2 linked regions of the Oreochromis niloticus genome follow. The protein of the gene in region 2 purifies or fractionates together with the protein of the main gene of each other region. This does not show direct contact. Links are inferred from orthologs where the notes say so. Each region holds a gene or a part of one and is shown on either strand. Other genes may lie near its edges.

Region 1 (16,756 bases), about 11 Mb from region 2:
CACCCCAACCGCGACGCGTTAAATGAAAGGGAGGCTCACTGAGAACAGACACATTTGAACTGCCTTATGCAACACTGTTAAAATTCAAATATAAGTCAGGATGAAAAAAATATATGTATTAAAGATGCATCACTATGCCTTTGTTTAAAAAAAATCTGTTTTCTAGCCTGTACTGAGTTAAGAATCTCCTAAAAATCAATGACTTGAAAAACTCACATGTTCTCCGCCTTTGAAGCTTGACATTCTCATCCCAACATAACAGACATTGATCTGACTGCAAGGCTATGTGTATGTGCCTGCGTATCATGTGTATATTGAAGCGCAACCTATAAGTGAAGCAAGTGTTTTTTTTCCACTTCACTTCATCCCTTCATCTACAGTCAGGCTGTGCTGGGAGTCAGCAGAGAGCATCAGCGTAGGGCTCACTGGGAGTGAAGGTTTGGGTTACGTGGGGGGAGCTTGTGAGCTGCTGCAACAGCAACGTGAGCACTTTGTCAGCTCAAACAGCTGGGAGGCTACAGCTCAGGATAAGGACTGCTGACTGATGAGAGAGATCATTTATTCAGAAGCTGCAGGCAACCTTAAATCCTGAGCCATTTTTAGAGGGTAATGCCAACAATTAGACATTTTAAGTACATATTTCAAGGTTACCTAACCTCTGTTGCTTGTGAATGATTTCTAAATTAAGTGTGTGACGCTCATCTATACACCTATCTGCTTCAGGCTAGGGCAAGTCTGTACCACTTAGGTGTGCCTGCTATTAGTCCTGTTGACGTTGAGTTCTAGGCTGACTCGCTGTGCAGCAAATGACGTTGCCTAATGATGTGTGTACAATCTGAATAACAAATTTGTCATCTTTTAATTTTCCTAAAAACTAACAAGCTGTAAGATTTTGCTGAAGTGATTACTGCTTGGTAAGACAAATATTGATTTTCTACAAAGCGATGAGACTGATAGGGGATGAATGCGCTGCATCACCAAACCTGCACAAGGGGGCAGTGTTTGGTAAAAGTTGATCTAAAGGATTTTCACCGAGCTGACAGTGAAAAGTGAATTATTATGTAATATTGTTTGTATAATTCTTGCAGTTTTGGCAAGTGTTGCTTGGAAAAAGGTGGATTAAAGGACTTACTTATCACGACAATACAAAGTTAGAAGTAAATATTCTATCTAAGAGCTACGAAACACTGCAAGAACAAATCTTTTATTATCTTTTAAGTTTCTTTTTGTCTTCCTTCTTCTTCTCTTTAATTAAATTCTTTCTAACTTATTTTATTCTGCAACATCACTACATGAAACTGCATGACTGCTTAAAAACACTTCAATACACATTTCACTAAAACTGGCCCAAACCTGACTTCCACGAGGTCGTTGGGTTTGTAGCTGGGATGCAGAAAAAACCAAACTTTCTTGACAAAGTGGTTGATGCTAGGTTCTCTCCTTGAGCCTCTGACATACACCATCCACTTATGAGTAGACTGGTCATTCTCTTCCCGCTTATCAGGTGGAATGTACCTGAGAATAATAAACAAAGAAGAAAAACCTCAGAGGTAGTGAAAACATTGGATTGAGGTAATGCATAGATGGTTTACAGAAGAGTTAAACACCACCCAAGATGAAGAGTAGGGAGGTAAAGTGAGACTGAAAATGAAGAGGTGTTTTTTTTTTTCTTTAAATTTTTACAAAATATTTGGAAAGGGGAGACAGACAAGGAGGTGCTACATGACTAATTTCAACACCGCTTTAATAATTTTCTGTCATAAAAAAGTTTCTGTCTTAAATCATACACCGGTTGGAAGCCTGGAGGAACTTAAAATCTCATCTGATCAAATGCTTTCTGATTAATAAACATGTACTACAATATTAAGTGTGCTGAATAAGTATCTCAATAAAGTTTTCTCTACTTAATATTTGCTTCATTAATGATGAGTATCGCTGGCACCCTTTTCAGCTTGAGTCCGTGTGTGCCATACTGGAACAAAAAAAACCCACCTTTGACGAATGGTAGGCGCCCAGTTGTCAAAACAAAAGCCTCATTACTTTACAAAATGCAGTCACGAAACTCTACAGGCGTGTGGCTAACACAAAAATGAAGGCCAGGTTACACAACAGGTGTGGTCTGACCCATAAGCGCTAAAACGTTACGTAATAAAGTACAATTAAAAAGTGAGTATCCTATTTATATGGGGTCTGGGGTCAACGTGCTCATGAGTATCATGGCAGGTGGGATCCCAACGCATTATTAACTGAGTGTAGTTTTACCTGTACGGTCTTGAGGAACAGAAAACTGTGCGCCCAGGGGGAAAATAAATTAGGTAAAATTTATTCTCAATCTTCTTCAAGACCACACTTGTAGGAAAACTGATTTGTGGCTCATCTCTTCAGCGCACAATCATGCATGAGACAAATTCAGCTGACTGAATAAAATAAGAAAAACCAACCCCGACTGCTGCAGTTCTTCTAATGTTGAGCCGATAATGAATAAAATCAGCTCTCTTTCTACTTAGTTTCTGATCCTGCACATGAACCCTAAACCAGCTGCGGTTCAAGATGGTCGATTTGTATTATATCTGAGTGATATATGAATGACAACTGAACTTTCAAAATAAGAGACATGCAGTAGGCTAAATGCAAGTCCATCGCATTTAGTGTTTTCCTCCAAGACTGATTAAAAATGAAAAAAAATAGTGAATGCAGGCGGGCAGCCTTTTCTATAATACCTGCCCAAAGCTTAAGTGACTTTCTTATTAAAAATTTTTACATGTAATTTATTCTCAAAATTTCAGTGTCTTTCTGAAATACTAAGACAAAACACCAGGCTACTCCGTACCTACGTAAAGAGTATCTATTTCAAACAACACTTTCTTTTCACTTGTTCTCTACTTCTAAAAAGTTAAATTCTAAATTTTGAGCTTGATGAAAAGATTAACTTTAATGCTGTGAGATTCAAACTTTTTGTCTTGTAGTTGTTAATTTAAACCTTTTACAGTTACTAAGAAGATTCTGACCTCTAATCTGAAAAGTCTGTTACAATGTAATTAGTCACCAAAGAAATAACATAAAAGAGAAATAACAATTTAACATAAGCCAGGGCCTGATCAACCCTGGCAGGGCCTCCTTGGATGAGGGTGTCTAGTGATAATGGCCGAAACACCCGATGAATCCAAGGTCCACTACTGACGATGTGTCCCAAATTTTTAATATGATAATCTAGATCAGATCTCTAATCCCTAAACCTAACCAAGGAAGGAAAAATGGCAGATTAGCCTGGGTAAAAGACCGAAACACCCTGTAAAGTTGAGGCACACAACAATGTGTCTAGCTGGTAAAATTTCTGGGCTGCCTTTCCTCGTAACAGCCATCCCTCAAGACTTTCTCCATTTGAACCAATGCATTATCAGGGATTGTAAGATCTAGTTCTTTTACTGAATCAGTCACAAAGAAATGACAGACATTTTTTAATTTGGTTACGTACTTGGATACATTTCCCACTACGATTGTCTTCTTCGCATAAAGTCTAGATGCATCGTCTCCAGTAGTGTGGTAGGTCACTCTCTGCTCTGCAGACGACGGCACACCGAATGTGTCCTACAGCAACAAAGGCAACGCTTTTAGTCACCGATCATCAAAAGGTCAAAAAACCCACAATTTCTGCCAGCTGAACTTACTTTGCCTGTGTTGCGTCCGGGTCTGCGCTCCTGCCTGCTGCTCTCCTCTCTCCAGGCTCCTTCTCCATTCCTCTCAGCACCGTCTCCTTGCTGTGAGAGAGACTCAGACTCTGATTGGACCAACGATGGAGTCTCGGAGCCCTGGTTGAGAGGGGAAGAAGAACGGGAAGGAGACTCCAGGAAGCGTCGGATGGCCGGATGGTTCAGCACAGCAGGGTCGCTCTTGGAGGTATGCTATGGAACATAGAAGAAATTTAGGTCAGTGTTTCTATACTGTACTACCACATAGAGCAGCAGACAGCTGGCTATTACTGTCTGCAATAACACCACTATAAAGTTTTATGCCATTTGTTTATGATCCATAGTGCATGGCACAATGAGACCAGTCGGGATATGTTCCTGTTAAGGAGCCAATTTAGTACCTAAAAAGGGATCTATTTCAACAACCTTGAACAAAAGGACAATATTTTTCAAAACATGCAAGGAAACTGTTCCAGCTGAAGGTGGAAGCTACAAATGTGTTTCACCACTTGAAGCAAATAAACACCATAAAGTACAACCAGGCTACACAGGAGGAGATACTAAGAGCTGCTGATGTGCAACCTAAATGTCAACAAAAGACTCCACCAAGCATCACTGATTCACACGCTAGATGCACTCCAGATGACAGGAAAAGCAAACAGGGGGGGATTAGATAAAAATGTGGATGCATCAGTACAAACACAGTGATTTAAGCAACTGGTGAAAAAGCTCTACATAAGAAACAACATCCCAGGTGGAAAAGAATATTAAGATTTACATAGTTAAGTTAGTTTAACAACTGTTCAGTTAAAGTGTTATTTTATATTTTTTACTTCCCAGGGGAAACAATAGCTAGGGCTACTGTTGTGTGTACATTTGACTTGCTGTGTACCGCTACTATTGCACTACAATGCTGATGCCGGCAACCTGTTTCACAAGATAAATACTTTAAATTACTAAGATTGCCAACAATGACTGCAGCTCATTAGAATAGCATAATACAAAATACCTTTAACTCACTACACCTATAAATGCTGCAACCTGCAAACATCAATAAAATGTTGTTTGGTATATTTTTTCCTGCGCTGTCAGAAATATTTTTCTTGCAAATTTTCTTCAAATATCATCATATAATTTTGAGGCTGTATCATCAAACTCTGTGTCCAAATGAATGGGAATTTACCTCTGAGAGCTTTGTCAGTCCAGCACTGGCATAGTAATTAGCTACTATGCATGCCCTGAGCTTGTCCATCATCCTCCTGGCTTCATTAAGACGCTGCAAAGCAAAGAAAAACAGTGAGCCGGCATGCTGAATATTACACTTAACTCCAAGTTATTGTCCATGTTAAGTTTTTATGCAGTAACAAGTAAAATACAGATTTAAAAGAAAGTATCATCTGAATACCTGACTTATCACATCTATCTCATGCTCTTTGTTCTTCATCTCCAAAGAAAATTGCTCCTTGATGATGGTTTCAATCTTCTGAACTGTTGCTTCTCGAGCTGGATAAAATAGGGAAGAGGGAATGAACATATCTACAAGACCAGGGCACAACTGATAGCTAATTTTGACCACAACAAGCAAAGCAAGTGTACTGGCTCAGGGTTCAGAGCATGAACTTACCACTATGTTCAGCCGCCTTGTTTCTCTTACTGTTTTGGACCAGAGAAACGTCCTCATAGTCGGGATCATTGCCCTCTATCTTCCTTTTAATTCCCGACATGGCTTCCTGTAAAGAAGGCTATAATTAGAAAACGTGTAGCTAATCACTTATATGCTGTGATGTACATGATTTGCTATGCACTTAGCACAGAATTAGCTGCATAGCAGGGAAGCTATAGATAATTGACAGCAATGCCCACAGCTAACCTCAGTACTGATTAGCCAAACAGGTATGCCAACATGAGTTAGCAGGCTGTCCACTACCTACCAAGCTATTTCAAACTGTCGACCAATTGTCTAAGATTCATTTAACAAGAATGCACATCGCATTTTAGTGTGTCTCACCACCGATATGATAAATAAATATACACATACCGTCCATACAGCCAACAGTTCTCTGACGTTAGCAACCGCTAACCTTGCTAATTTAGCTAACGTTAGCACACAGTTGTACATACATACCGGTTCAGGCTGTACAAAATGCAAATTTTCAGGAGTACTCTGTGATGTGGAGCAACGTTTCTTTGAAAGGCGTGTGTTTTTTTAATTCAACGTGAGCATATCCGTTGCGTTTTTAGTATACTCAGACCACACTCGTGTTTAGGGAATTGCTAAATCTCGAGCTCTACAAGTAAGCTAACTAAATAGTGGATAGTTAGCCTTGCAGTTTAGCCAAACAGCCACAAGGGACCGCTGTTCTACCAAGTTGATTGAAAACGAGGCGTGGAATGATAGGTATTGTCACCTTTCAGAAGATTGCTTCCCTGGAAAGGATGTTTTATTGTCGTGATCAACAGCGTAACCCGTCTTACAAGCCCTTAGTAAACTAACTACTCTGACAAGATATTCATAAACAGCGGTGAAGATGGCATGCATACCTGTCAAACTTCATTACAACCAGCCATCATGGTCTATTCTAAAGAACTTTACGGGGATTTTACTCCAGTGTTATCACTGCAGGAAGTTTTTTTTGTGTCTGATTCAGTGGAACTCTTTGGAGGTATTACATTACATTACAGAGTTGAGTAACCCCGTGTATGAGCATGCGATATTCTAACTATCATAGGTTACTATTAGTCTAACATGTTTAAGCTTGTAACCGCTGACAGGCTGCATGCCACGAATTAGAAGGCAAACAACACCAGACAAGAAGGGGATCAGTTCATCTTATTTAGCTTAAGCGGAGCTTCACACTTCATCAGACATCAGTTACACAGTAAACATGTGATTCTAAAGGCAATTAAACAGAAAACAGGTGTTGCTAGAAAGCCACTCCAAACAAACCTTTTCTATAACTTCTACACCTATGGGCACCTTTTCAGTGTTACACATTACTTTGCTGCTCTCTTGCAATGAATTGTCCTATCACGTTCACATTTCCTTTTAATGAAGCAGAGAAGAAGATCAAACAACATCCTGTTAAATTTCCTGTGGATCCGAAGTAAATACAGCGCCAGTATTGTCGATACCAACATGAAATTCGATACTGATACTTTAACCTCATGATTTAACCGCCATCAGTTGATCAATTTACATATTCTAAGTACATTAATCAAAACAACAAAACACTCCTTTCAGCTTTTCATGTATTTTGAAATGGGGATTTTTGGAGACCTGGACTTTTTTTTAAAATTATTATTAGTCCTTTATTGATCCAGGTCAAAATCTCACTTGAGATTAAAAATCTCATTTCCAAGAGAGACCTGGAGATGTGCACATGTGAGTGTGTAAATGTGCCTCTAGTTGCAGTATTTTCCAGTCAAGTTTTAATTAATATGGATGTCTCTTTAGCTCAGTGGGTGAGCAGGTGGGCTGAGAGCTGCAGCACTACTCCAACCTCTGGCCCTTTCCTGCCAGGGCCAAGAACCTAGCATTTTACTCAAACCAGATCAGGCCTGCAGCTGTACCACAGAGTTGGCATCCTCAGTAATTTATAGTAGCTGGCACTCAGCTGGATAACTGAGGTGACAGCATGCTGTCAGTGCCAAAAATCTTATAATCACAGCTGATTAATGTACTGTATAGCATTATCCTGTCTGAGAATGCATGTCCCTGATGAGCTCTTTGCATAAATCAGAACACAGATGTATGGGTAAGGCATGGCTTCAATTTTTCCCATAATGTTTGGTGTAAATGTAGCGAGATGGTAAGAATCTGTGAGAGGATTCTTTGTGGTTTTCATTAAACCAAAGCATAATATGGAGAATATAAATCACATGAGACTTAAATAAAAAGGGCCTGATAATAAAGCATGGGTTGCTCAATCCTACTTTAAAAAGTGCGGCTGCTTTTAAACACTGTCCCCTTGTTCAGCACAATGACTCATTAAAACATCACCAGCGTGATTGACTCATCCCTTGGTGAATACAGTGTCCACAGCTCTGTGGAGCAGATTGCTACAACTTGCAACAAAACCCAAATGGCGCATCTCTTCTTTTGTGACATCTTCATGGATATTTGTGGGACAATAGTTGTGGTTTCGATGAAATACATAAATCACTTTGTTTCCATTCGTTTTATGGCTGGTCTGTTGTGAAAACGGATGTGCTCACGATCGCTTGATTGAGAAAAAGCACAACTTCTCGGGGCACATTTATCGCATGCGTCACACTGACCACAAGAATCGCTTTTCATCTCAGCCTTCTGATTTCTGTAAAACTGAGTGAAAACTTTATATTTTGTTTGAGAAGGGAACATAAAAATCAGGATATCTTCTCTTGGAGGAGTTACCTCCACTGCTGGCATGAAGACGATCCTCAATGTAATGAACATGTTTGACAATTTACTTAGTGGCCACTTTGTCAGTTACACCTGTTCAGCTGCTCATTACCTAATGCAAATATCTAATCAGCCTAACATGGCAGCAATTCAATGCGTTTTGCCATGAATGAGCTGCTGAAGTTCAAGAAAGGAATAAGTATTTCAGAAACCGCTGATCTACTGAGATTTCCCCACACAGTCATCTCTGGTGTTTACAGAGAAAGGTCCAAAAAACAGAAAATATCCAGTGAGCGGCAGCTCTCTGAGCAAAAAGGCCTCGTCGATGTCAGAGGACAATGGCCATAAACCTTGAAGATGACGGGAAGGCAACAATAACTCAAATCATCACCTGTTAACAATCACAGGCTGCAGAAGAGCATCTCTGAATGCACAACACGCCCTATCTGGAAGTAGATGGGCTACAGCAGCAGAAGACCGCACCAGGTGACACTCCTGTCAGCTAAGAGCGAGACACTGAGGCTATCACAGCAGGAATTTGCATTAATGAGCATCTGAACAGGTGCATCACTGTTTTCTTGTAGACTTTCATTTGTTAACAATGATGAGTCACAGCAAAGCTTTGATACATTAAGAAAAACTTTATTGACGTTTCTCATAAACAACTCAACCATTACAATTCAACATACTGCATTTTACAAAAATTGAAAGCTTTTTTTTAAAAAACAAAGAGCACAAGAAAAGTGTTGTAAAAGTATCACACATCATGCACACAATAATAGCAGTGTATATCACAATTATCTGATGTAATTGCTCACTCGTTAATCTCTGGTTAAGGCACATAGGGCAGCACTTAAGGGGTTACATCTCTTGACATCAAGGCAAGGCACAGGTGGTGCTTTTCCAACAAGACTGACTTCAGGATTGTCTCAAATGTGGCTCTTATCTGTGTTAATATTTAACTCTGGTGAGCAACTTGTAACCCTCAGGTTTTTTGGGTGTAATCTGCTGCACGTCCTTTTTATGTTCTCAGCAACACGCGATCCCACAACTCACCACAACAAGCAAAAGATTTAAAAACAAAACAAAACAGTACACACACAAAAAAACAAAACGATGGATATTCTTATCAGAAGTCAATAATACATGAAAGACATTAATGAAAATCAATAAATCAGCACAACATGAGTTTGTGCCCTACTTAAGAGTAAATACTCAGTGAAATCACAGACGCACACACACTCAGATTCTCACTTTCTCACTCCCATGCTTCTGCCTTTCCGCTTTCCTGCCCCCCAACTCAACCCGTCGCTCCTCCTGACTTCTGCAAGCAGGTGAATCAGGAGGTGCTTCATTTTTCCACCTGTACTGCTCCTTAACCTGACCTCCATTTGGAGGAATGTGAAGAATGTTTATGTAAAAAAACCAACAACTTCCCCCTACATATTTTTGTTATCATACCTGACAGGTGAAGTATGACCTGAGCTGTTCTTAAAGGATATTACGTAATGGTGCTGAGTGACAAATTCAAAAATCCCTAAAATTTGAAAACTGAAACTGTTATGACGACACTGCCTCCTTTGCAGCAATATTTGCTGGTTTTTTCAGCGCATCAAAGCGTAGGAGGCAGTGGCCAACAGGAGGAGCTGACAGGCCCTTTTCACTCTCTTTTCTATACGTCACATGAAAGCAAAGAACATTTACTGATACAGTAAAAAAGGAAATCATTGTCATAAAGTTCTACATTTAACAGGATTCTGTCAAAGTGCACAATTGGGGCTCTCAAGAGAACATATTATGCAAATAAGGATACAAAGATACATTTAAATACAAGTTAAAGAAAACAAAGTTAACTGTATATTCACAGCAATCTATCAACACCAATTGTATTAAAAGGTGACTTTTACTGACCAAGAGCCACACCATCCAAAATCCTCATCATTCAACTCTTAAACCCGCCAACGGTGTGAGGGCCAGCACTGCCGCACCCGCCACCTTAGCTGACCATTCAACACACATACACGCATACACACCTGGAGGTATCTATGGTTACCCCGAGTTACATCTTTACATGTAAGTGTACAGGTGAGATGTGGCAGCATTGCACGACAACTCTGTGATAAACCTGCGTGGCTCCCAAAGCATCCAGACCAAGCAGTAAAAGTCACACAATATCCTTACACACACACAGACACACACACACACACACACACACACAGACACACACACACACACCAGACATGCACACCATTTATTCAGAGCAGTCTACAAGTTTGATCCACAAAAGGCTTCACATCCACAAAACCACCCCACAAGCCCAGTACACCGATGGATTAACGTCGACCTAACTACTTATCATACAATAAACATCCAATTATAAAAAAATAGGCACGGATAAATATAACTTACCAAAAAAAGGCAATAATGAGTGAAATAATAATAATTAAAAAGGAGCAAAATATACAGCTTAGAAGGCATTAGCAAGGCTGACTGTAAAAAGTGAGGTGATGACACAGGTGGAGCGCAGGAAGAGAAACACACATATGGGAAGTGGAACTTAATGGTGAGTGGTGATGACATGGGAAAAAAAAGGAAACACAAGGGAAGAGCCAACAGTGGCTAGAGTCCAATGTTTTCACAGCTTCTGCTCTTTACCTCTTCTCTTAACTCGGCTCTGGGTTGAGGGGTGAAAGAGCTCCGTATTTATGACAGATGATACTGTGGGAGAGCAGCTGGCTGACTGCTTACCACATTTCTATCAAGTCATTTTCAGTATTGGAGAAGAGGTAAAAAAAAAAAACAGAGCACAGTTCATTATTATGTTCTTTACCAGAGCTTGGCATAACTTTACTGTATGAGACAAACTGCGTGAGTGCAGGGAGGACGAGGTGAGTAATCCGACCTGGTCACTCAGATCAGTATTTTTGGATATATTTTTGTTTCTCCAGAGACAACTGTTGGCTCTCGCCAGATATTTTTAGTGTTGTTTTTTGCTCATCAGAACTCTCATTAATCATCAGTGACCTAAATCTTGAGGTTATACTTTGCACAGCAATGAAAGCAGAGTGCTGGGAAGTTACATTTTTTTAATATTGATGGTTTGTGAGTATGACAAATGAGTGCTGGCAAAAACTCAATAATGTAATTGGGAGTACCACCCTTTGTTTTCACTTAATGACTTTTTGAGCTCACCTCAAAATTAAATATTTTAACACGTGTCAATCTATTCATAGAACACTATGTGAAAAGGTGAGTAAATGAGCTTGTAGTTTAATCTGATCTCTAGATTTAAGACTGATTTTCCTCAAACTACCAATACAAAAGCACATCTCTCATGCTGATCTGGTTCCACTTTATCTCTGGTTGCAGAAAAGCCATTAGTGTTATCAGCTTCTGAGCATTTCCACAGAAAGGCTATTAAGACAACAAAAGATTCACAGCACCACAACGAGTCTTGCTACATGATGCTGTGAGGAAATAAATTAGCTCACTGACACTGTGGTTTGAACTATTAAATGTGCCTCTTATTAAAAAAACAAAAAACAAAAAAACGGGGTGTGGTTAGTTTTTGTGTGCTGTGTATGTGTATGAGTACTTGAAGAGTTCTTTAGTGTTTGCTCTCATGTTGAGAGAGTGTCTGTGTGTGCGACTCTGTTCATGGTCACGACTTGAAGTATTTGTCATTGTAACGATGGATGGTTACGCAGCCGTGGTAGGAGATGGCTCGAGGCATAGAGGATGCTCCCGTCATGATGCCTGTTGCTGGGTCGTAACACAGGACGGTGTCTGTGGCTTCGCCGTTTTCCCCCCTGCCACCGAGGATGTAGATTTTTCCGTTACACACTGACATGCCACAGCTCTCCTGCAGTTAAAGAAAGACAGAAATTAAAGGGTGCATCGTCAAAGTGTAGAACTTTTCATATTCTTATGGCTAAAGCCAGTTTGTGGATTCGGGCACTCAGCGTCTGTGTTTGATAGTAACCTGTTTGTTGAAGGTCTGAGCCACATGCATCCAGTAGTCCTCTGCAGGGTCGTAGCAGTAAATTGACTTTGTGAGACCGCCGCACACATAGATCAGATTGTTGAGAGATACTGCTGAGATACAACGCTTGGCAATGGGGATGCTGGCACGCAGCAACCAGGAGTCTGTCTCTGGATCATAGCACTGAACCTGTGACATAAGTTTAAACATAGTGGTGTTTTACAATGATGAAAGGTTCAACTTTATCTTTCTTTATCTTAAAAAAAAAAATCTATACCAGGTGTTGGGAAAACAGCTGTAAAAGCAGTAACAACTAAAATATGTAAAGCCCATTCGGTGGTTACTGACTCTTCTGTGGGTTGACATTAAGTATGTCTCTGTGTGGTTTTGCATACAATCCAAACATTCTCTCACCCACTTATCTTTAAAATAGCCTCACCCCAAAAAGTTTGGTCTCTAACGACTCTCATTGTGCACAGGGTCTCGCTGAGACAGATTAGGACCTTTGGGACCGATCTAAATGACCCTGTTAGCAGACCCAAGAGATGAGTAGATCAAAAATCTGGAGTCAGCATCGGCTCTTAGTCTTATCAGGCTGCCCCTCTGCCCATCAATGTGTTTTTTCTACTCTGCATAGACATAAACAAATATGCCAGCTATTTCACGTACGTAAAAAAAACTGCTTCGTTGGAACTTTAGATTCCTAAGAAAGCCAGTGTCTTCCTGTTTACTACCAACAATGTGGCCTGTCATTCAAAACATACTGAAACGATTCCAAGGTACTTGTTAAATCCAAACTCTGAGGCTATCTGTTTCACATAGTAGCGTGACAGATGACAAATGACCTAATCCTTAAGTAAGTTATCGCTATTATTACCTAACAAATGGTCAGTCATCATGTGCTACTGTATTTTTCTCCTTACTGTAACATTTCTGAATATGTCAGCATGTTAAGCTGCTGTAGTTTTACTCCTATGAGTAAATGCTATGAAATAAAACCTGAAATACTGTACAATTACAGCATTCCATCGAAATAATAGCCTGGATACAATTAACAAACTGAAACAAGATAAATCAGGACCAACCTGACTAAACAGGACGTACTTGTTACCTACGTAAAACCATCAGTGAGTGTTTAACAGATTTTGTACTCCAACTTTATGAAAGCTAAAATGCTTGGTAAGAAATGATTGCTACTTAAGCCTTCTCTTTAACTCAATTCAGGAAAAAGGGGAAAATCTGAACTTTATATAAATCATGCAGTGACCGAGAACTATGAGGCCTGTACATATATTATGTTTTATGTTGTGTGACGTAAAGGAGCTTGAAAAAAAGCAAAACAAAACAGGATTTTGAACTTCCATTGCACACCTGTAATTATGAAAACAAGTTATTTGACACTGAGAGCAGCTTAGCTGCCATCACTATGTGCTTGAGTGTGTGGGTGCTGAAAAACAGTTTATCACCTTGTCTGAACAAGTTTCATCGTCAGGCCCTCCTCCAATGACAAAGAGCTTTCCAGCACAGCTGGCCACAGCTGGAGAGCTGACTGCTTCTTTCATGGGAGCCACTTCTGTCCAGCGGTTAGAGAAGGAGTCATAACACTCCACACTGCTCAGGCGGCTCTGTCCATCATAACCACCCACAGCATAAACCTGAGGACAGACACACAAATGTACGAGGATCAGATGAGGGGCCAAAATTAAAAGTAAGAGAAATGTCAAGCCTAGAGAAACAAAATTATTCACAGCAAAAAGATGTTTTGCGTTCAAGTTCACTACTTTATGAACGTGAACAATAGCTTCTATGTCAGCTTTTAGAAAACCAGTTCATCAGGAGCAGAGTGTTGATGACGTGCTTCTTCTGAATAGGCTCAATTATCAGTTTCCTTACTGCAAAGCCCAGCTCATCTGTTCACCTTTTAACATAAAATGGTCATAACTACGAACGTCTGAACTTGAAAGCATACTTGTTACAGCCTGAATTTCCACACCGTTATTCTGCCTGATGAAGCAAATCTGGCAATCACTATGCATAAACTATATTATAAACTACTATAAAAAAATCACAGCAGGATAAATATTGAGATGATAAGGCACAAATAAGACCGTCAAAGAAAAAAAAAGAACAGGGTTTTGTGAAACTTTGTGAAAGACACAGATGTATTTTTCAGTTATGCTTATGACATCCTCTGTAAAGGGCTCACGTGTCAAGAAAACAGTGAGGAGCATTACTGGTTACAAGTGCAGTGTTATGCAAGAGAAAACCTTCGGGCTGTTCCTGCCTCTCTGCAAAATAGGAAACATAAATAAGTACAGACAAGAAAAAGAGGAAAACAGGAGAGAGAGGAACAAAGAAAGATGGAGGGAAAGAAGAGGAACAAAAAGACGGAAGCTGATGGGACACATGGTTATTAGCATTAAACGCCCGGCTAATGCTGAATAGCACTACTGTTTTTCCAACTGAAAAACCGACAATCCCTATTCTTGTTTACAACTCGTGCGGTTACAAAGCAGTATTGTCTCTGTCTGCATTCGTGTATTTTCAGTGACAGAAACGCATAACTGAGCTGACAGTTGGTGGCGAGCAGCTGCCACATTGTAACTCACTGAATAAGACTGTGGGCATGCAGGCCAACTGCAATTTGTTTATTTTTAATAATTAATGTTGATACAGCTGATAAACTGTAAATGTGGGTGGTTTTTTCCTAAAAGTGAGAGACGTGAGAGAAGCAAAGAGCGATAAAGAAGAAAACAGGCTACTGAGAGATAAAGATAATCAAGTGCAAGGAGTTGTTTAGAAAGGATTTTTTTAAACTACTGGTTTTGGTGAGCTGTTTTTTTCCTCCTCTCTATTTGTATTAACAACAATTTCAATCCAGTCACATGTAAAACTAGATACACACCTTAAAGTCGCCCACAGTAATATCAGCAACAAATGTAAAGGATCTTTTTCTTACTTATGTAATTGTGGTGGGCTGGCGCTTTAAAGAGCCATTGAAGATATCCAGACACAAGATTGTTTAAAGAAGGTAGTGGAAAGGAGTGGGGGTGGGGCACTGGATCACTGTATTTGCACCCTTGCCACTCTGCACTCTTTTAATAAGACACCAGCTTTTAATACACTATGAAAATCTAAGTCTGTCAATACTAGGACATAATGGCAGCGCAGACAGCAAATACTGACCTAAAGTATGCAGCTGTCATAAAAATATGCTGAGCTAAACAAAATCCTTAACTCTGCAGACACAATTGCAAGTCACTGAACATGCACGCTAGTTTTATGACCATATTTAAGTGCTGAGCCGCTGGTTAAATGATTAACAGCTTCCTTAACATGTGCTGAGGTAAGATACAGCAAGTTACAGCAAGAGAAACACAGAACAACTGCAGCAGGGGGATAAAAACACGAGCGTATAAATAGAAAGAGCGAAAGAGTGTGAGTGTATGTGTCTGAGAGAGACTGACAGAGAGAGGGTCAAACATATAATAGATGTGAACAGCCGTCACCATGTGCCACCATAACAGGGACAGGAAAACAAGTGGTGACCTATTTTAGATTATATCTATGGAAACTAGACCAGTCCAACAGGATGTATCAGACTGCAGGACACTGAGAAGTGTACATGTGTGTGTGTCTGTGTGATCTTATACCTCAATCCCCGTGACAATCAGCTCTTTGCTAGAGGTTTACACTTCAGCAAACCTTACATTCATTAATCAACTTTAAGTGTAGTAAGATTATACCCGGACCTGCATTATAGAGGCTTGTGCTTTGTTATTCTAAACTTGCAACTGGCACATCAGTGCTTTTTCACCAAAAGGGGAAATTACAAGCTGAATGAGGAAATGAACTCAGGAGGAGGGGAACTGAATTCTGAGGAAACCAACAAACAGAAAGATACATTGTTAAGGGGCAAAATGTCTCAGAGATAAAAAGCCAGATAAAAATCTGGAATGAGACCATAACAAAAAGGCACAAACTGGAAAAACCTTCCAGATCTACATATGAGGAAATGAAATGGGGGGTGAATACCAAAGGAGTCTGAGGTAAAATGATAATATAAATATGCACTATACATATACATTCAGGTAATTTTAAAAATGATAGATAAAGGTCTTATCTCTGACAGACATTTATTTACCTTCAGTTAGGAGGACGGCTACTGTAGCGATCAAGGATAAAAACTTTTAATGCTTTAAGAAGCATTTTTTTTATAATTACTTGACAGACCATCGACAAGCAGAGGATAAAAGAGAATACATCATAGAGTAATCCATGTTTCTATGGTTTTAGATACGCTTACATTTTTTTGTCCAGTTTTGAGTTGCAAAACTTGAACTTTGGTATAAAAATTGAGCTTTTTTCATTTAACAGGTTTTGCATGGGAGTGCCCAGCCAGCTACAGACTCTTACCATTAAACGTGGTTTCCTTTAATGTACCAATATCAGTCATGTTTTCACCACACATGTGTGCACGGTTCACTTTGTAGTTAATTACTGACTCTTGAAGCCACACCATGACCACCAACTAATTACCACACTGTTGTGGAACAGCAGCACGTACACCAAATGCACATCTGTGGTTTGCTGTGGCAAGGCAACAAAATATTTTGAGTGTTGTGTAAAAGTCATAGAAAATCCAGTGTAGATCAAAGAAACGTCCTAAAAATAATTAAAGGATGTTTGCACTACAGCCCTACG
Region 2 (16,392 bases):
ACACAAGAAAGGTATTAAACTTTGTTTAGCGGCAGCGAGTTCATCTCCATTATGAGAGGCAGTCATACCCAGAATAAGAACTGTAAATATAAAGAGGTTAGCAAGGTAACAGTATCCCAAAACTATCCTTGCTGACTCTTGTGTGAGACATACTGTACTGTATTCTCAAATTTCTCTGCCTCTGTCTGCTTTCCCACAGCAGTGACCACATTCTCTCCGCCAAAGAACAAGCGCCAGAAGAAATATCGCAGCATCATCTCAGACGTGTTCGACGGAACCATTGTCAGCTCAGTACAGTGCCTCACCTGTGATCGGGTTAGTGCTTTTGGTTGTCTTTTTGTTAGATCCGATTGAAATGGTAATGAAAATGCTGAGATGTTGAGCAGCAACAGAGGTGTAGGTAGAAAAAATGCCATTCTGATGATGGGAGGAAAGATTATCTGTGATCACAGTGACATTTTTGCCTTAAGGATAATGCTGCAAAGTGACAGCTCCTGACAAATCCTTGTAAAAAAACAAAACAAAAAACACAAACAAACAAAAAAGCAAAAAAACACATTACGCTTCTACCTTCTGTGGCCGTCAGGTGTCTGTGACCCTGGAGAACTTCCAGGATATCTCGTTGCCCATTCCAGGGAAGGAAGACCTAGCCAAGCTCCACTCATCCACCCACCAAACCTCCCTGGTAAAAGCTGGCTCCTGTGGGGAAGCTTATGCACCACAGGGGTGGATAGCATTTGTCATGGAGTACATCAAGAGGTGTGTCTATAACCCATATGCTGTATTTTTTTTAAATTTATTTTTACATCAGGCAGCAGTCAGTAGCTGCTTTCTGTTTTTGTGTAAAATTCACCTCCTTCTGTGTTTGTTTCTCCTGTTAGTTGGTTCTGGGGTCCAGTGGTTACACTACAAGACTGCCTTGCAGCTTTCTTTGCCAGAGATGAGCTAAAGGGTAAGCGGGTGGGTGGAAAAATATGTTGTGCCAGTATAAACATCAAGAATGATGTCTCAATAATTGTTTGTTTTGTGTTTTTAATTTTTTCCCTTAGGAGATAACATGTACAGTTGTGAAAAATGCAAGAAGTGAGTAATTTATTGCACATTAACTAAAATGAGATCTAAATGGACTGCACCTGCAATGACTGCTCCTCTCATTGATCTTTTTTTCCCTCCACCCTCATAGATTACGAAATGGAGTCAAATTTTGTAAAATGCAAAGTTTGCCAGAGGTAAACTGACATTTCTAGATATTTATATGATGAAGAAATCCAAATATTTATCCAGATTTTCTTCAAATGCCAAGCTTCTGAAATGAGAAATGTTTTCATTCTCCTGCTTCAGATCCTGTGTATTCACTTGAAGCGCTTTAGACACGAACTGATGTTCTCCACCAAGATAAGCACCCATGTGTCATTCCCCCTCGAGGGCCTGGACTTGCAGCCTTTCTTGGCCAAAGACAGCTCCGCCCAGACCACCAGCTACGACCTGCTGTCAGTCATCTGTCATCACGGCACTGCCAGCAGTGAGTGGGCGCAGTCACTCCCTTTTCTGCATGAGACCAGGGCAGCTGCCACCATTTGGCACATACGAGTGTCCTGCATTCATTCCCCTGGAAATAAAATTCACACTTACTTGATAGATTTGTGAATGCTGCTCTAACACATCCCCCTGTCTTCTCCCAGATGGCCACTACATAGCCTATTGCAGGAATGATGTGAACAATCTGTGGTATGAATTTGACGACCAAAGTGTGACTGAGGTGTCTGAAGCCTGTGTCCAGAATGCTGAAGCTTACGTGCTCTTTTATAAGTAAGCCTAGCACACTGTACTTCTATAACTCCTACCTGAACAAATGTAACAACAAGCTCTCATTTATCTCTGTAGCATTTTAAAATTCACTACGCTGCTCAGCTATTAAAAATTGGATCGTACTTTTGCTTATTCATCTAAAATACTGATTAATATTTGATCTGTTTCTGTCCCAGAAAGAGCAATGAGGATGCAGTGAAAGAACGTAGGAGGGTGTCGGGCTTATTCAACATGATGGAGCCCAGCCTTCTGCAGTTCTACATCTCCCGCCAGTGGCTTAACAAGTTCAAGACGTTCGCCGAGCCAGGGCCCATTTCCAATGATGACTTCCTGTGTTTGCATGGAGGTGCGTATGAAAATGTCCGTTCTCCTGCTGAAGCCACTCGGAGGTCAAATTGTCCTTTTCCTCGCCCTGTGTCTGCTTTGTGCAAGACTTTTCGCTTTGACTTTGACACAGCTTTGGCTTTTGTTCTCGCTCTGGATTTCTGATTCTGACAAAGGCATTTCCAACTTCAGAAGAGGGGGGAGGGGTTTCTTCTCTTTGTGAAGATGATCCTTCATTCTGTTTTTAGCAGAGAAAGGAAAAAAGTCCTAAAAGGGTTCATGCGAATGGAAGTGACGTAACTGAAAAATAATTTGTGCAGAACAGAGAATGTGTTTACACACTGTAAATAAGCACCTACAGCTTTCTCCCTCCTGCTTGGTAGTCACCAGCACCTAAGCACATAATAACTGGCTAGTCAGGTACATAAGCATAGATAATATCAGTGCAGTGAAACCATGATTGCTTTGTGGCAGTGCAGCCAGTTGTTTTATTTTGTGTGCAAAGCCAAAAACATCACAGCTTATTTTCACTTTCCTGTTCAAGTGTGCCATGAAAAACACACTAAGCCTCCATCAAGAAGCTCTGGCTGCATGTTTTCCCATGAGGACTTTTTGAAATAAACAGCTGTAAAATGGTGCTGGTGCAGGCATTAAAAAAAACACACTAATTTTTCTTTGAATTGTTCATTGAAGTCAAAGTATCTTAGATTAAAGAAGTGAATTTAAAGAATTTAATTACCTGGTACACTGAGTAATTAAGATCATTTTAGATTTATTTAGGGTTCACACGTCACTTTTCATTATTTGGTTCATTATCTTATCTCGGCTTTCACGTTGCATCAAAATTTCAGTGCTTTTCTGCATGTTCACTTTTTTCCCCCCACATTCTTCAGTATCTGCAGGGTCCTACTGCAAGCCCTTGTTGTTTGCCTTTTAAGATTAGAGGTTCTTAATTAAATTTTGTCTATTATAAATCAATAAGACAAGGGCCAATGAAATATTCAAGAGGGTTGGGGGAGCAGCAGTGTAGATTTTCAGTCTAGGGGAAGCTGCTGCTCATATCTTTCTCACATGTCAAGATGAACTTAAGCTGACAAATGAATTCAAAGAGCTTTATTGCAGCGACATGGAAGGGTTGTTATTTCTTCCTACTCCCACTTCCTTCTTGATCTTGTTGTTTTAAAAGGACTTACTAAAAGTCAACAAACATTTAATTAACCCAGGTCAGCTTTGCTGTATAAATTATTTGTGTAACCTAGCTTAAAGGAGAAGGAAATGAGACCCTATAACCTTTAAGTGTAATAAATAATAAAGCTCCTTACAGGCTTATTCAGCCTATTTGGTTTTTAATAGTTGGATCAAAAGGGAGAGGTGATTTTACAAATCTGGAAATTTAGGAATGAGTTGCCACCGTATCCTGATTTTTAGACTCTTAAACTCAAAAACTCTTTTAGTCCCTAATTAATACAATAAATCAAAGCTCCATCTGGAGCTATAATTGACATTAAACAGTGGGTTTTCACAGGCTGTAATAAATACATCTGAAGTGTTTTTCAAGAAAAAGCCAAAAATTGGAGCGAAACAAACAACTTTGTGGAGATCTAAAAAAATCATCTTTTTCATAGTCTCGCACCCTGCGGGGAATTTAGACATGCAGTTTGGGAAGGAGTTTTAATAACAGGCTCTGGGGGTCTGAAAAAAGGAGAAACTGAAGAATATCTAATGATAGGGGTAGCACAGTTTGAGCAGCGAATTTGACAGAGTTGTGCATAGTTGAGCTTCTTGCCCTGTTTAGCTCACCACTGATCTGTAACCATGCGAGCTGTTGCATTTCATGTAAAATAAAATGTTACACTGCGAGCGTCTGACTGCTGTTTCATTGCGTTTCATCAGGTGTGCCGCCCAACAAAGCCACATTCATCGATGACCTGGTAGTGATGCTGCCACAGAACGTGTGGGATCACCTTTACAGCAGGTACACGCAGTCGACACGGCCGCTTTCAGACTGGCTGGAGGCTTTAAGCATCTTCAGATCCAGCGATTCCTTTGGCTGAAGTAACGTGTGAGCTTGTATGTACTGTTTCCCGCAGGTACGGAGGGGGACCGGCTGTCAACCACCTGTATGTCTGCCACACGTGCCAGACTGAGATAGAAAAGCTGGAGAAAAGGCGTAAGCAAGAGCTGGACATGTTTGTCAGGGTAAGCACCCACCCACTCCTCACCTCACCTGAAAAGCCGTCCAAGCAGCGGCTTTATTTAGATAGTTAAAAATTGGTTTGTGTGTGTGTGTGTGTGTGTGTTTTAATACATGGTGTGTCAGTGCAGCCAGGACTCACAGGTGTGTATAGGCCCCTTTTCTTCAGTCTATTTAGCCAGTTGATAGGCTGCATGTGTTGATGCTGTTCGCCCCGGCAGGAGATGAGAGGTGCAAGCCGGATGAAAGCCTTATCATTAATGCATTGGGACAGATGCAGCTGTTATTGCCTGCTCGGTGTGCCCACTCACACAATAGCTGCTCAGAAGAGAGATAACTGTGTGTGTGTAAGACTGAGCTAAAAAGGAAGAACAAGGAATGTGTCATTTTTTTTCTTTTTCCAAGAGAGACAGAACTGGTGCAGTGTGGTTTTAAGATTGTCTTCTAATTGGAGTAACTAGCAGAGAGAATTGATTTGGTTTTCCATTTCCTCTCAATCCTTTCATCCTTACTTTTTTCCTTTTTTGTCCCCTATCCCATCCCACTTACCCCTCCTCTTTCCCCTCCCCACCCCTTTGCGTCCTCCCTCTTGTCTCTACCTCTCACTCCACCCCCACTTCCTCTCTTCCTCTCTCCGGGTCCTTCTGCTCCCTCTGTAGCTGAACAAGGCGTTCCAGGAGGAGGAGTCTCCAGTGGTCATATACTGCATCAGCATGCAGTGGTTTCGTGAGTGGGAGGGCTTTGTCAAAGGAAAAGACAATGGTAATTGGACAGAGGTCTTGCCTTTCCATTCCCCCACCCCACCCCCTAGTCCTGTTTAAATGTCTGATTAAAAAGGTTAAATGTTTTCCATGCGATTTATCATGGAGAGACCGAGTTTCTGGAACAAACTGCCAGTCTATACATTTTCATCGACGTATGGGGGGGAAAAAAGGCAAATAGATTTTTTTTCTTTTTTTTCCCTATAGAAAATCAAAATTCTCAGGTTATTACAAACAGCTCATTTTCAAAAGAAACTGTGGAGTCCCTGTTCCTTCTTTTGATTTTTCTTCAAAGAATTCGCTTTAGTCCCCCGAGTCGGGTTTCTATCCTGCTCCAGCAAAATGAAGCGTCAAAATGCATTTCATTGGTGTTCCACTTGTCCTCATATTTTTTTCTTTTTGCTTCCCCTACTTTGTATTGTCACATCTATTTATAACAGCTTGCATCTGGCACGCCTGTAAATTGTCTTTTTTTTTTTTCTTTCTCTTGACTTCTGCTCCTCTAATATTTGTCTTCTCTCTGTAGCGAATGGGGAGCAGATATTGCTTTTTTGTAGTGTGACAAAAGCATTTGACATTTTAACATCATTGCTCTTTGATACAGTTAGGATATGAGAATATAACTCGGTTACTGATGTATGTAATTTCACAACTAATTTTCTTTTCTTCGTCTTTTTCAAGACCCACCGGGACCTATCGACAATTCAAAGATAACAGTAAACAAGAACGGCCATTTAACACTCAAACAAGGTACAAGCAAGGTTTTTAAGTTGTAATTCTGTTTCTTCTGCTTTAGTAGGAAATGTATGTCTGAATATTTTATTATGGATTTTTAAAAAGCATCAAACAAGTCTTGCAGAGATGCTGTGGACTGTAGAGCTGTTTTTCCCGTTGCTGACGTTTACGATGTATACGTTTGTGATTGCACCGACCCTACAGGAGCAGATTCAGGACAGATCTCTGAGGAAACGTGGAACTTCCTCCACTCCATCTACGGCGGTGGTCCGCTGCTGACGGTTCGACCGAACATCAGCCACCAGGAAGTAGAGTCGTCGCAATCAGAGGAGAAGATCGAGGTGGAGACTCGCTCCGTTTAATCAAGCACTTGACAATACACCACAACAACATCGAAAACGTTTAAGAAATGGAAAGCCTTTTATTTTGCACTTGACTTTTTGTTTCAAAAGCATCCAAGCAAAGGACCTCATCTTTACTCCTGCGTGACAGCCTTTGACAGAGGGAATGAACTGAAAAGGGTCGTCATGTTGTACAAATCTGTATAAAAAGCTCTTAAATTTCTATTAGCACTGTAGTACTCATGTTTCAGGTTTTCAGAACCAAGCATTTAAAATATGTGCAGCTAAAAGAAATTCCACTGAATGCCATATTGGTTTTTTTTCTTTGACCAAATGAGCACATGTTCTATGTCCATGTGTCTTGTGTTGCCGATACTGATGAATCACAATACATCTTGCTGTAGATATATCACATATTTTTTATTTCCTGTTGTATTATTCACTAAATGACAAGGAAAGCAAAATGTGACACTTGGGCTATGAAGGGACTAATTGCTGACTAGTCTCAGGAATGAATTTTGTGTTTTGCACTGTTCTGTAGAAGTACAAATTGGCATGCTCACACAGATGTCTGGTTTGTATTTGAATGTACCAGTACTAATAGTATGTTGGTCAAGACTCAGCACTTGGTTATTTATAACAGAAGGGAGTGATTTAACATGATGTCAATAGATTATTATTATCGTTTTTTTTTTTTTTTTTTTTTGAAACGTGGCAGGCAGACTTTTTAAGAATGCATGCTCCGAACATTAAAATCCTAGTTGAACATCACATGTAAGTGCATGTAAATGCAAAGCTGCTCATGATATGTGCACGCAAATCCAGATCTGTCTTCACTAAAACTGTACAGCTGCAGAAAGCACATTGTAGTAATGTAATCAGCATCATAATGAGCAATCTGATTCATTAAAGGCATTATTTTTGTGTATGGGCATAGTGTTGCTTAAATGTGTTGGCTGATTAGGGAGTCAACAAAATGCTGTACTCAAAGTTTTTGCATATGAGTAAGATCTATTCTGATTTTTGCTGGCTGACACTATTAAAACTTGATGAAAACATGTTGAATGCTGTGCCCTTCCTTAATTGTGTCACTCTTAAACTGCATGTTGTTTCTCCTTAAAGTGTCAATAAGCCATAAATTAGGAAATGTTGCAGAGTGAGAGTGAGAGGCACTCTAAAAATGTACAGGATAGTGTTGCATTTTGACGAGAGAGCGCTTGCTGCTCACACACCCCGACTAGTTGACTGGATTGAAAACATGGCTGCGGCCGAGCGTGCAGCAAATTTACGGAAGTGAGGTATGTCTAATTCTTAAGCTACAAAAGCTGTTTAGAAGTGTGCGTCCAGTTCGTTGCTTGTGGTGGAGCAAACGACAGAAACTGAATTTATTAGCCCACTCAAAATGTGTGTGACCGCCATTGCTGGCAGTACACAAATACATCGGCAAAGTTATGCGCGGAACAATCAGCTAGCTCGGCAAGCTAATGCCAGGTTGCTGCGGCTAGCCTCGGCTGCTAGCTGGTTACCAAGTGCTTGGTTGCTAATCATGCTACTTCTCAGTGCTGGACATATAAACCTCGGCGAAAACGTGTTAGCGGCGATTTCTTCCATCTACGTGCTGTCTTATTTGTGGCTTTAACGCCCCTGACTGATGTCGCGCTAGCTAGCATGTGCTAGGTGTCAGTAATAGAGGGGCTTCATCAGGAATCGCCACGATTCTTCTCTTAACGGGAAAACTAGCCGAGGAGAACTAGCACAGGTAACGTTAGCTAACTTGGCTAACTAGTCGAGCACAACAGAAAGAGGGGAAAAATGTTCGGTTAGACTGCAGCACACTTGTCCGTTGAGTGTCACAGGGAGCGTGTATAATAATTTAGAATTTAATTCTGCTGGTGCCACAGTCTGCGGCTTGGTGTCTCAAGTGTTAATATATATATATATATTTTAATTAAACCCCGAGAGCTAACGGTAAGTTAGTTTTGTATGGTTAGCCCGCTAAACGGCATGCTAGGTCAACTAAGGTCTGCTTGGAAGTTGGAGCATGCTAACGTTTAGCTCATTCGCAAGCTCCCCGTGAAATAACTGGGTTGTTTCTGTCCAGACGTGTGGTCGTGAGTTTTAATCGTGAACTTTTTTTTTTTGCTGCAAAAACTAGTGTTCAACTCAGCCGGCTGGCACGTGCTGCTGCTGTTGCTGCGCCGCCGTCCAGTCTCGTCAGTTTAAACAGCATCCTCGTGCCTCCCAACTTCGTGGGCTTGGAGCTCGCGGCAGTTGATTTAGCTGGGATGTAGGGATTTGAGCGATTCTCATCGGAATGTGCACCAGCACCACTTCGCGGATGTTTGGTTGCCAGTAGGCCCAGTGGAAGTGCTGAACTTCAGGTCGGCAGCGGAGATGATGAGCCCAGCAGGACGGTAAAACGGCACAGAGCTCGTTTATTTATCGGAAAACACATGCATCATACCAAACTCTGTTACCCACATTTAGATTAGCTGGTTTCCTAACAGTTGACTTTTCTTGTGAGTTGCGTGTTTATTATTAGTGCACAGTTTTGGGAGTTTACAGGCTTGCTATCTTAGTGAAAGCAGTGCTTCTTTATGTGATGGCAAATGAGACATCTGTCACGACAGTGCAGGCAAAAAAACACCACGTGTTAACATAACTCTACAACCAAACAAGCGCTTTAGAGAGGGGCAGGAAGTGGGTTGATTTGAGAGTACAGTAACACATGGGTCCTTTAATTACATACAATGTCTTTCACACTCAAAATCTTTGCTTATGCTCTGGATATCTGCGAGTACAAGTTGGTCTTGGTGTGTCAAGATCGGTGACTGTACATTGCAATGTGGTGTTAGTACTGTAAAGAACACTGTCACACCTTAATGTGGTAAATTGGCAGCTGTGGGTTTAATGGTTGGTGTGTTTCTAGAAAGATCAAGAGATTAATAAATCTTATTTCATGGAGAAGAGTACATCACAGTTAAATGTTTATATAGGAAGCAAACATGAATCCCAAGCATGTATCCTTGGCTGAGTCTACTCTCTCATATACTAGAAGGAGAAAATGCAAATTAACCAAAACAGTGTCTTCTTGTGACTCTTAGTCTGATATAATGGTTGTAGTGCTGGTATGACTTATGAGCAGTTTGGTGATAAACCACTCTGACTAATGTATCATCTTTTTTTTGGGGGGGGGGTTAGACGGTATAAAAGCTCCAAGCATCCTATAAAAGAAAAGTAAACAACATCAGAATCCAGCTTAACAGCACATCAGAGTTTGCTTTTCCTAACTTAGACAATCAGGCTAAGAAGTCACATAAAATTGGTTATTAACTTGATCAGTCTACTCGAGGTTTCCCAGTCTAGCCGTGTGTGTTCACATGAAAGAGGCAGCAGCGTCTGACCAGCCACAAACATGGACAGGTCTGCTGTCAGCACAGGGAGTGATTTTTATATTAATAAAGTCTAGCCTAATTGAAGCATGGAAGGTAAGTTGGAAAAATAGTAACTGTGTAAGTTAATAGGGACATCAGCATTGCGGCTCTTTCATCAACACATGTGAAATTCTAACAGATTACTTCCATTAAATTCTTATTTAGACATGCAGGAAAGGAAAGTTAAGGAAAGCAGGAAAGTTATAGCCGCCTCTGTGGTGTTTAACTGTTAAAGAGCAAAATAAAATACAAAATAAATATAATAACATAAATTCAATGTACGCCCCTCCTTCCCAGATTTTTTTTTTTTTTAAGGTTAATAAGTACAAGTTGGTGTTCTATATCAGGATCATATAATTAAGGCTTATAGAGCAATAGAATCATTTAACAGTTGCAGCAAGGAGGAAAAAAGCATGACTAAAGCTGATTCTGGTAACTCATATTTCTTATTGATTCTTATCAGGGCTCTTGAAAAACTTAAGACCCTCGGACTATCTTTACCCTGTGGTCTCAGGTTTCTTCCATGAATGGTGATCCTATTTTCTGTAGAATCTATTTGTCAGTATGTGGTGATTTTACACACGCTCATCCGTAATCTCCAACAAAACCTGCTTCCAAGCAGGTTTGGTCTGCAGCAAAGTTAACACGGTGATGTACCCTGGGGAACGACAGACATTTTAAGCTTTAATATGTTTACATATGGCTGAGTAGCCTAATTTATAAAGTATTGCAGAATTTATAGATTTCCGTTTTGGTTCAGTAGGTGCTAACAAAACCTCTAAAATAAATGTTAGGAGCTATAGGCTGCACCACGGAAGCAAACACTGCCCGTTTGCTTCTTGGGGTGTGTGTAGAAGCTGCAGCACCACCATAATTTACACCTGTGTTATAATTACTGTTTTCATCAACCTTTTTACTAAGAAAAGAAGCACTTTTTGGAATGAACCTTATATAATTTTAACCTTGAAATGCATTTTAGCTTGTGCGCAATTCTATTTTTAGTTGAAAATGTGTGAATGTTCAGTCTGCTTCCCTGTCGTAGCCGCCTTCAGTGTTTTCCTGTGGCACTAACAAGCTCTGCATTCTTTTAATAGCTTCATATGCTTCCTTTAATATTAAACTTTTATATCAGTGACTCCCAATTAGTTTGCCTTGAGGCAAATCCAGGTGTGCCTTGGGATTTTATGTCAACTATATTGTAACTGCATGGTGCTTTTCACACTAAAAAGCAATTATCTAAAACATAGGTGTCTTGTAGTTGCAGATGCTGAAAAAGTGTTATCTGGAGTGCTGTCATCTGACAGTATTCAACTTAAAAGACAACTGGAGAAAGTAGAGATGGCATGAAGGCTTGCCTTTTGGTGTGACTTGGTCATAAAATGTTTGAAAGCCACTGTTTTAGACTACAAGGTGGAAATACTGACATTAAGAAAAAAAGATGGACAATCGAATGTTTGCTTCATCCATTTTGCTGTGATGGAAGCACTCAAATGGACCAGCAGCTGACTAATCAGCTATATTTACTGGCCCCAGGCCATAGAGCCATTGGTTATGTTGAACCCTGCAACATAAACAATCTGTGAATTTCTGTCTCCTTTAAATCTCTTTATATTTGCTAGGTTTGTAATTACTGGTCTAAACTGTTTTTATATTTTTAGAGAAAGAGTTTCTGGATAGGCTGCAGGCTGTGTTTTCTTATGGAGCAGCACATACCTGGAGTACTATACCCACAGAACTGAGGAACATACTTTTATAAATTAGTGTTTCCCAAATAATCAAAAATGCTGTCATAATATGAAGTGGTGTCATTGTAACGGTGACACCGCCTCTGGTTCAGTAGTCATGTTCGTGTTCTTTTGTGTCTGTGCTGTTTTGTAAATGGTCTTTAATGTTTTTTTAATATGTTATATGGTAACATCTTTTATAATTCAAATAATTGTTGCTCTTTTCTGTTTATTTTTATTTGCTCTCTCTAAATGCAGTTATCCTGCTTGGTACTGCAGATGAAAATGAAACAAGCCGTCTAAATGTGTCTCATTTGCTCACGTTAATGTCCCTTTTAAATAAAATAAACAAACCTTAACTTGCACAGTGTTTATACTTTAGGAAATCACTGTTGTGGCGAGTAGTTTAATGCCTGCTAACTACAGGCTCCAAGGCCAAGGAGAGTCATGTCATTGAAGGTGTTTAATCAGAATCAGAGAGACTTTATTTATCCCCAAATCCTGTAGTTAATATTTGCAACTCCAGAACGCCTTCGTCTTTACCTACTCTGTAACAGTCTGGATGTGAAAATATGCAAACCACGTTATTTTATGACATTCCAGTCAGTCCAGTCCAGTGCACTTCTGTCAGGCATGTCTGACTGTGGTTTGAACCTGATGTTGGGCAGGGTAGTCAGATTTACAATGTAATGACGACTTTAATTTAATAACTGTGAAATCTGGTACCTGAATGCAACATTGGGCTTAATCTTAACTATTAAGATAGGCCTTGCGAGTTAAGCCAGGAACGTGTTAATTATTAGGAACGTGGAAGTGTGATCAAATGTTTTATAAAGTTATTCAGCCCAGCTGTAGCACTAATTATTTTTGATGTAGTGATTAGCTTTCCTAGTTTTTGGGAGCAGGTCAGATGAGCTGGCTTAATTAGTTTTGTCGTGTTGAGTCAAAGGGTGAGTGCTCTGTCTGAAAAAACCTGCTCCTCCTGCTCCCCGTTTTCTGCTTTTCTTTCTTTTATTTTATGCATGGACAAATCACATTAGTTTTCTCAGCTGGGCTCTTTAGCAGAGTGTGAGTAATATGTGCATGTGGTAGTGTTCGTTTCAGGTGACTATTGTTAGCTCCCTGAAGGAGTATTATCAAAATGTATTTGTAGCCGGAGTAGCCTGTGTGACTTTGATGGTGCTGTGTTAGCACAGTGTGGGAAAAGGGAGGGACTGTCCGAGTGGGAGACAAGGAGCTTTTAAATCAGTTTTGACAGAGGTCAGCTCACAGTTTGATGTACTGGGAATTAATGTAAATGAGCACCTCGTCCATGGCGCTAATTGATGCGATTTGTCTTGTCCCTAATATATGGCTACTACTGTTTCTCATCATCTATAAAAGGACATCCAGTGAGATCATCCGTTGCTGAATGTCACTTTAATATGACCTCTAGCATGTTGTGTTTTTATTGTCCTTGTGGGTAGATTTATTAGTTGGACCATGATGTAGAGGATGTGTCAGCAGCAAGTTTACTGGGGACTAATTGTCTTCTAACTGGAGCAGGAACGTTACAATCTCCCTTTCATTAGCTGCATCTTTCTGTGGGCAAAGATAACTTGATTATTAATACTTTGTACTTAGAGTAAGGTATTTCTGTATTTTTTTTTTTTTTTTTTGTTCAAATTTGTTGATTGTGGAGTTAATTGACTTATTTTGTTTTAATAACTTTGTAAGACAACATAATCTAGTGTAAACTGTTATTGTAATTACAATTTGAATGCTCCTTCGTTGTTGTTGTTTTTAATGCTTCCATGACTTTTGTTATATATATATGAGAGAGAAATTGTATTAATTTGTTTCCATGATCTTAATGCAATATGCTGCATAAAAAAAAAAAAAATAATAATAATGCTGAGAGAAACAAGAACTAGTTGTCTATATGTGTGCATTTATTAGAGATGCAGTGATCCAGTTTTTTGTATTGCTGATTCAATAGTCATACTTTGGCTTTGGGTCTCTGCTGATATCAATGTTAAATTAAAACGATGTTCTGCTTGAGGAAGAGGCTGGGAATCATTCTTTATGTTTAATATAACATCAGGCTCGACTCAACCATTATTTTCCTAACTTACTAATAGTGGCACGAGTTTCTCCTTTTCCCTCCTCATGTTGCAATCACCTGTGGAAAAAATAGTGGTTGGAGACTACAGCATGACTAAAATTATTGCAACTGTGGGCAATGAACTTCTGATCTTGCTGCCGTGGAATTGGTTGCTTCAAAGATGATGATGACATCTGCAACCACTCACAGTTGATTGCAGTCTTCAAAGCAACTTTACTAAATCAAAATGATGATAAAAGAGCAACAAGATGGATTTGGTCTGCTATAAGTTTGCGAATGAATTGGGTCAAGTTGGCATTTATGTGAAATCTGTTTGAGACAATACAACAATTCACTATGATAAATTGGTGAAAATAGCAAATCCGTTGCCATCTATATACAGAGAAATTCACTTTAAAAATCATCCAGGATCTCATAGATTTAAAACACGTTAATAAATACCTCTACAAATTGTGACATAGTTGCTGTGGGATGGCAATTTAACTGCAAAATGACATAGGTGATTGGCAGTCTTGCTTTTATGTAGGGATACGATCAGACTACAACCAGTTAAGTTTTGCCCATTAGTGCAGATTGACTCAGACTGATTGCAATGTATCGGCAATCTGTCTGCATTTATGAACTGTATGACAGTCTGCTAGGGTCCACGTGAAATTTTGTAATTTACATTATAATGCACCAACTATCCATGTGCACCAGGTGGTGAACTTGAAAGAAGGATGACAGGAATGAATACTTGGCTGTCGGGTCTCCAGTTTTCCGTGTCTGCACTGTAGTCTGTTTGAGAGTGATTGCAGTCAGTCCGAGTCAGACGATGATTTGTTTGGAGATAGGTTACCTGTGTAATCGACTTGCAGTCATAAGGGATTGCCTAGAGGTTAAGGTAAAAAAGTGTTTGGACAAATGTGCGTAACTGGGTGTATAAAGCAGTTTGAGTGCTCAAGTAGAGTAGAAAGGCACTGTATAAGAACCAGCTCATTTACCATTTAGTTGCAGATGAGTTTCTATTGTATTTTCAATATAGTGCGGGTCAGCCATCACCCACACAAATGGATCACATCATGACAAGAGAGAGGTGAAGACAAATATTAATCAAGATGATTTGAGAACATGACTTTTTCTTGTATATGGAGGAAAAAAATGGGTAGACTTTAGGAAGACACTTTGGCTCATGTGTAATATTACATGTGTAATAACTACTAACGGTACCATGAACTATGTATTCGTGGTGCTGCTTTTCAGTGGTTTAGGTCTTACCTGGTTGAGAGAACGTTTTGTGTCAGTCCTTTGGATTTCAGATCATCCTCAGCTTTAGTTTCATGTGGGGTACCACAGGGATCAATATTTGGACCTCTGCTTTTCTCTCTATACACCCCCCCCCTTGACTCTATTTTTAAAAGGCATAAAATTGCTTTCCATTTACATGCAGATGATGGTTTATATGCCCCCCCCCCAAAAAAAAAATAAAAATAAAAAATTGACTACTTCATACAAGCGCTAAATGACTGCGTGGTCCTCGCTACACTGGCTGCCTGTCCTTTTAGGAGTTCATTTTAAAATTCGTTAATTTGTTTTTAAAGCCTTAAATAGTGTATAAAATTAAATAAAGTTGTTTTTAAATACACACTACCTCTCTGAGCTACAGCACCTTCTGCTTAAGCTATTTGGTAAAGAATTGAGGTATCAAAGACTGGCTTAATTTCCCAGTTCACAATATATAAACCAAGATTTCTTGTAACTCACACTGGTCTGTCTTGATCTGCAGAATAACTTAGTGACACAAAGAGCGAACATTGGGAGGCTTTATTGTGCCTCCAGTTGTATCAGGATGTTTATTGTCAAACCCTATGTAGAATTTTTGTTCCCAGGGGATTTTAATTTTTGTATGTTGTGATAAGTTTTAGAAGGATAGCAGCCTGTTGGCACACCTGTTATGAAGAGATAAATGGCCTGCAGTGTATGATGACAAAACATATGTCTGCAGTGTTATCTCTGTTGAATTGGATGTGAGAATTATAGTGTCAGAAATCAGTCAACCTTTAAACTACGTTTATTTTACTCAGGACAAAAAGCAGAAATGCCTGCAAGGAGGAAATAAATATTCCCTTGCTGTAACAGACATACACAATCTGTGTGATGGCTTTAAAAAAAAAAACAAAAAAACCCCGCCTTGTTTCTTTGCTTGTGGTCTTTTCATATCTTAAAATGCTTGCTGAGCTGTAGTCACATACAGATGAGCCTCAAAGCTGTGCCATTTGAGGCGTGTGTACAGACTGATTGATCATTTAGGCACAAAGGAACATCTGACATGATTGTTTCCTTGTGCGAGTGTAAGATCTCCCCCCCTTTTGAATTTATTCCCTGTGTACTGACCTGGTATAAGACATCTAGATTTGCCTGTGGACAGAAGGTGTTGCTTAGCTACAATGACAGAATAAATCAATACCCCTCTGGTGTGAGCAATGACCCGAGTGGTATTTAACAAAGGCCTTCTGGTACATGCTTCTGTTTGAAACACCACAGGGTACTGTTCATGCATTCATTTTTAGCATGCAAGTCCAGTGAAACCAGTCAAACTGAAAACTGTGAAGTTAATGCAACAGTGAGCTGCATATGTTTATAGCTTTCAGTTGTTATATTGACATTTAAGTGCAAGTTTCTCCATGTGTATCTTGCAGGTGCCCGCATTTGGCTGCAGAGGAGAGAGCACCAGGATGAGGAGACTGTAGGCACTTGCCATAGTATGGCCGCATCCCGTTCCTCGCGTGTCACAAGGTCATCAGTGGGGCTCAATGGATTGGATGAGAACTTTTGTGGTCGAACCCTCAGGAACCGCAGCATTGCCCAGCCAGAGGAGACCTCAGTGTCTCCACTGCCAAGGGCCCGTTCGCCCAAGAAGAAGCAGGACAACAAACAGGACACCAAGCAGGAATCGAAGCATGACGCCAAGCAGGAGTCGAAGCAGG

What was found.
Region 1: the proteins of zzz3 (region 2) and yeats2 purify together in Homo sapiens (affinity purification with mass spectrometry; 3 studies listed by BioGRID, with this or other methods). This does not show direct contact. The link is inferred for Oreochromis niloticus from reciprocal best matches to the Homo sapiens genes ZZZ3 and YEATS2.

What each region holds. Positions count from the first base shown.
Region 1 is NC_031982.2:14,306,273-14,323,028, forward strand, and holds the start of yeats2 (YEATS domain-containing protein 2), read right to left. Parts: upstream 6,033-16,756; 5' UTR 5,815-6,032; intron 5,748-5,814; exon of another isoform or gene 5,728-5,747; intron 5,420-5,727; 5' UTR 5,414-5,419; coding exon 5,314-5,413; intron 5,193-5,313; coding exon 5,095-5,192; intron 4,966-5,094; coding exon 4,873-4,965; intron 3,903-4,872; coding exon 3,669-3,902; intron 3,589-3,668; coding exon 3,476-3,588; intron 1,516-3,475; coding exon 1,354-1,515; intron 39-1,353; coding exon 1-38. UniProt on the Homo sapiens protein: Chromatin reader component of the ATAC complex, a complex with histone acetyltransferase activity on histones H3 and H4. YEATS2 specifically recognizes and binds histone H3 crotonylated at 'Lys-27' (H3K27cr).
Region 2 is NC_031982.2:25,360,911-25,377,302, forward strand, and holds the start of zzz3 (ZZ-type zinc finger-containing protein 3), read left to right. Parts: upstream 1-7,324; 5' UTR 7,325-7,462; intron 7,463-7,550; exon of another isoform or gene 7,551-7,923; intron 7,924-8,319; exon of another isoform or gene 8,320-8,578; intron 8,579-16,104; 5' UTR 16,105-16,169; coding exon 16,170-16,392. Other genes in the region: usp33 (ubiquitin carboxyl-terminal hydrolase 33), read left to right, coding at 1-11, 200-315, 587-759, 882-952, 1,050-1,083, 1,184-1,229, 1,342-1,522, 1,683-1,809 and 6 more.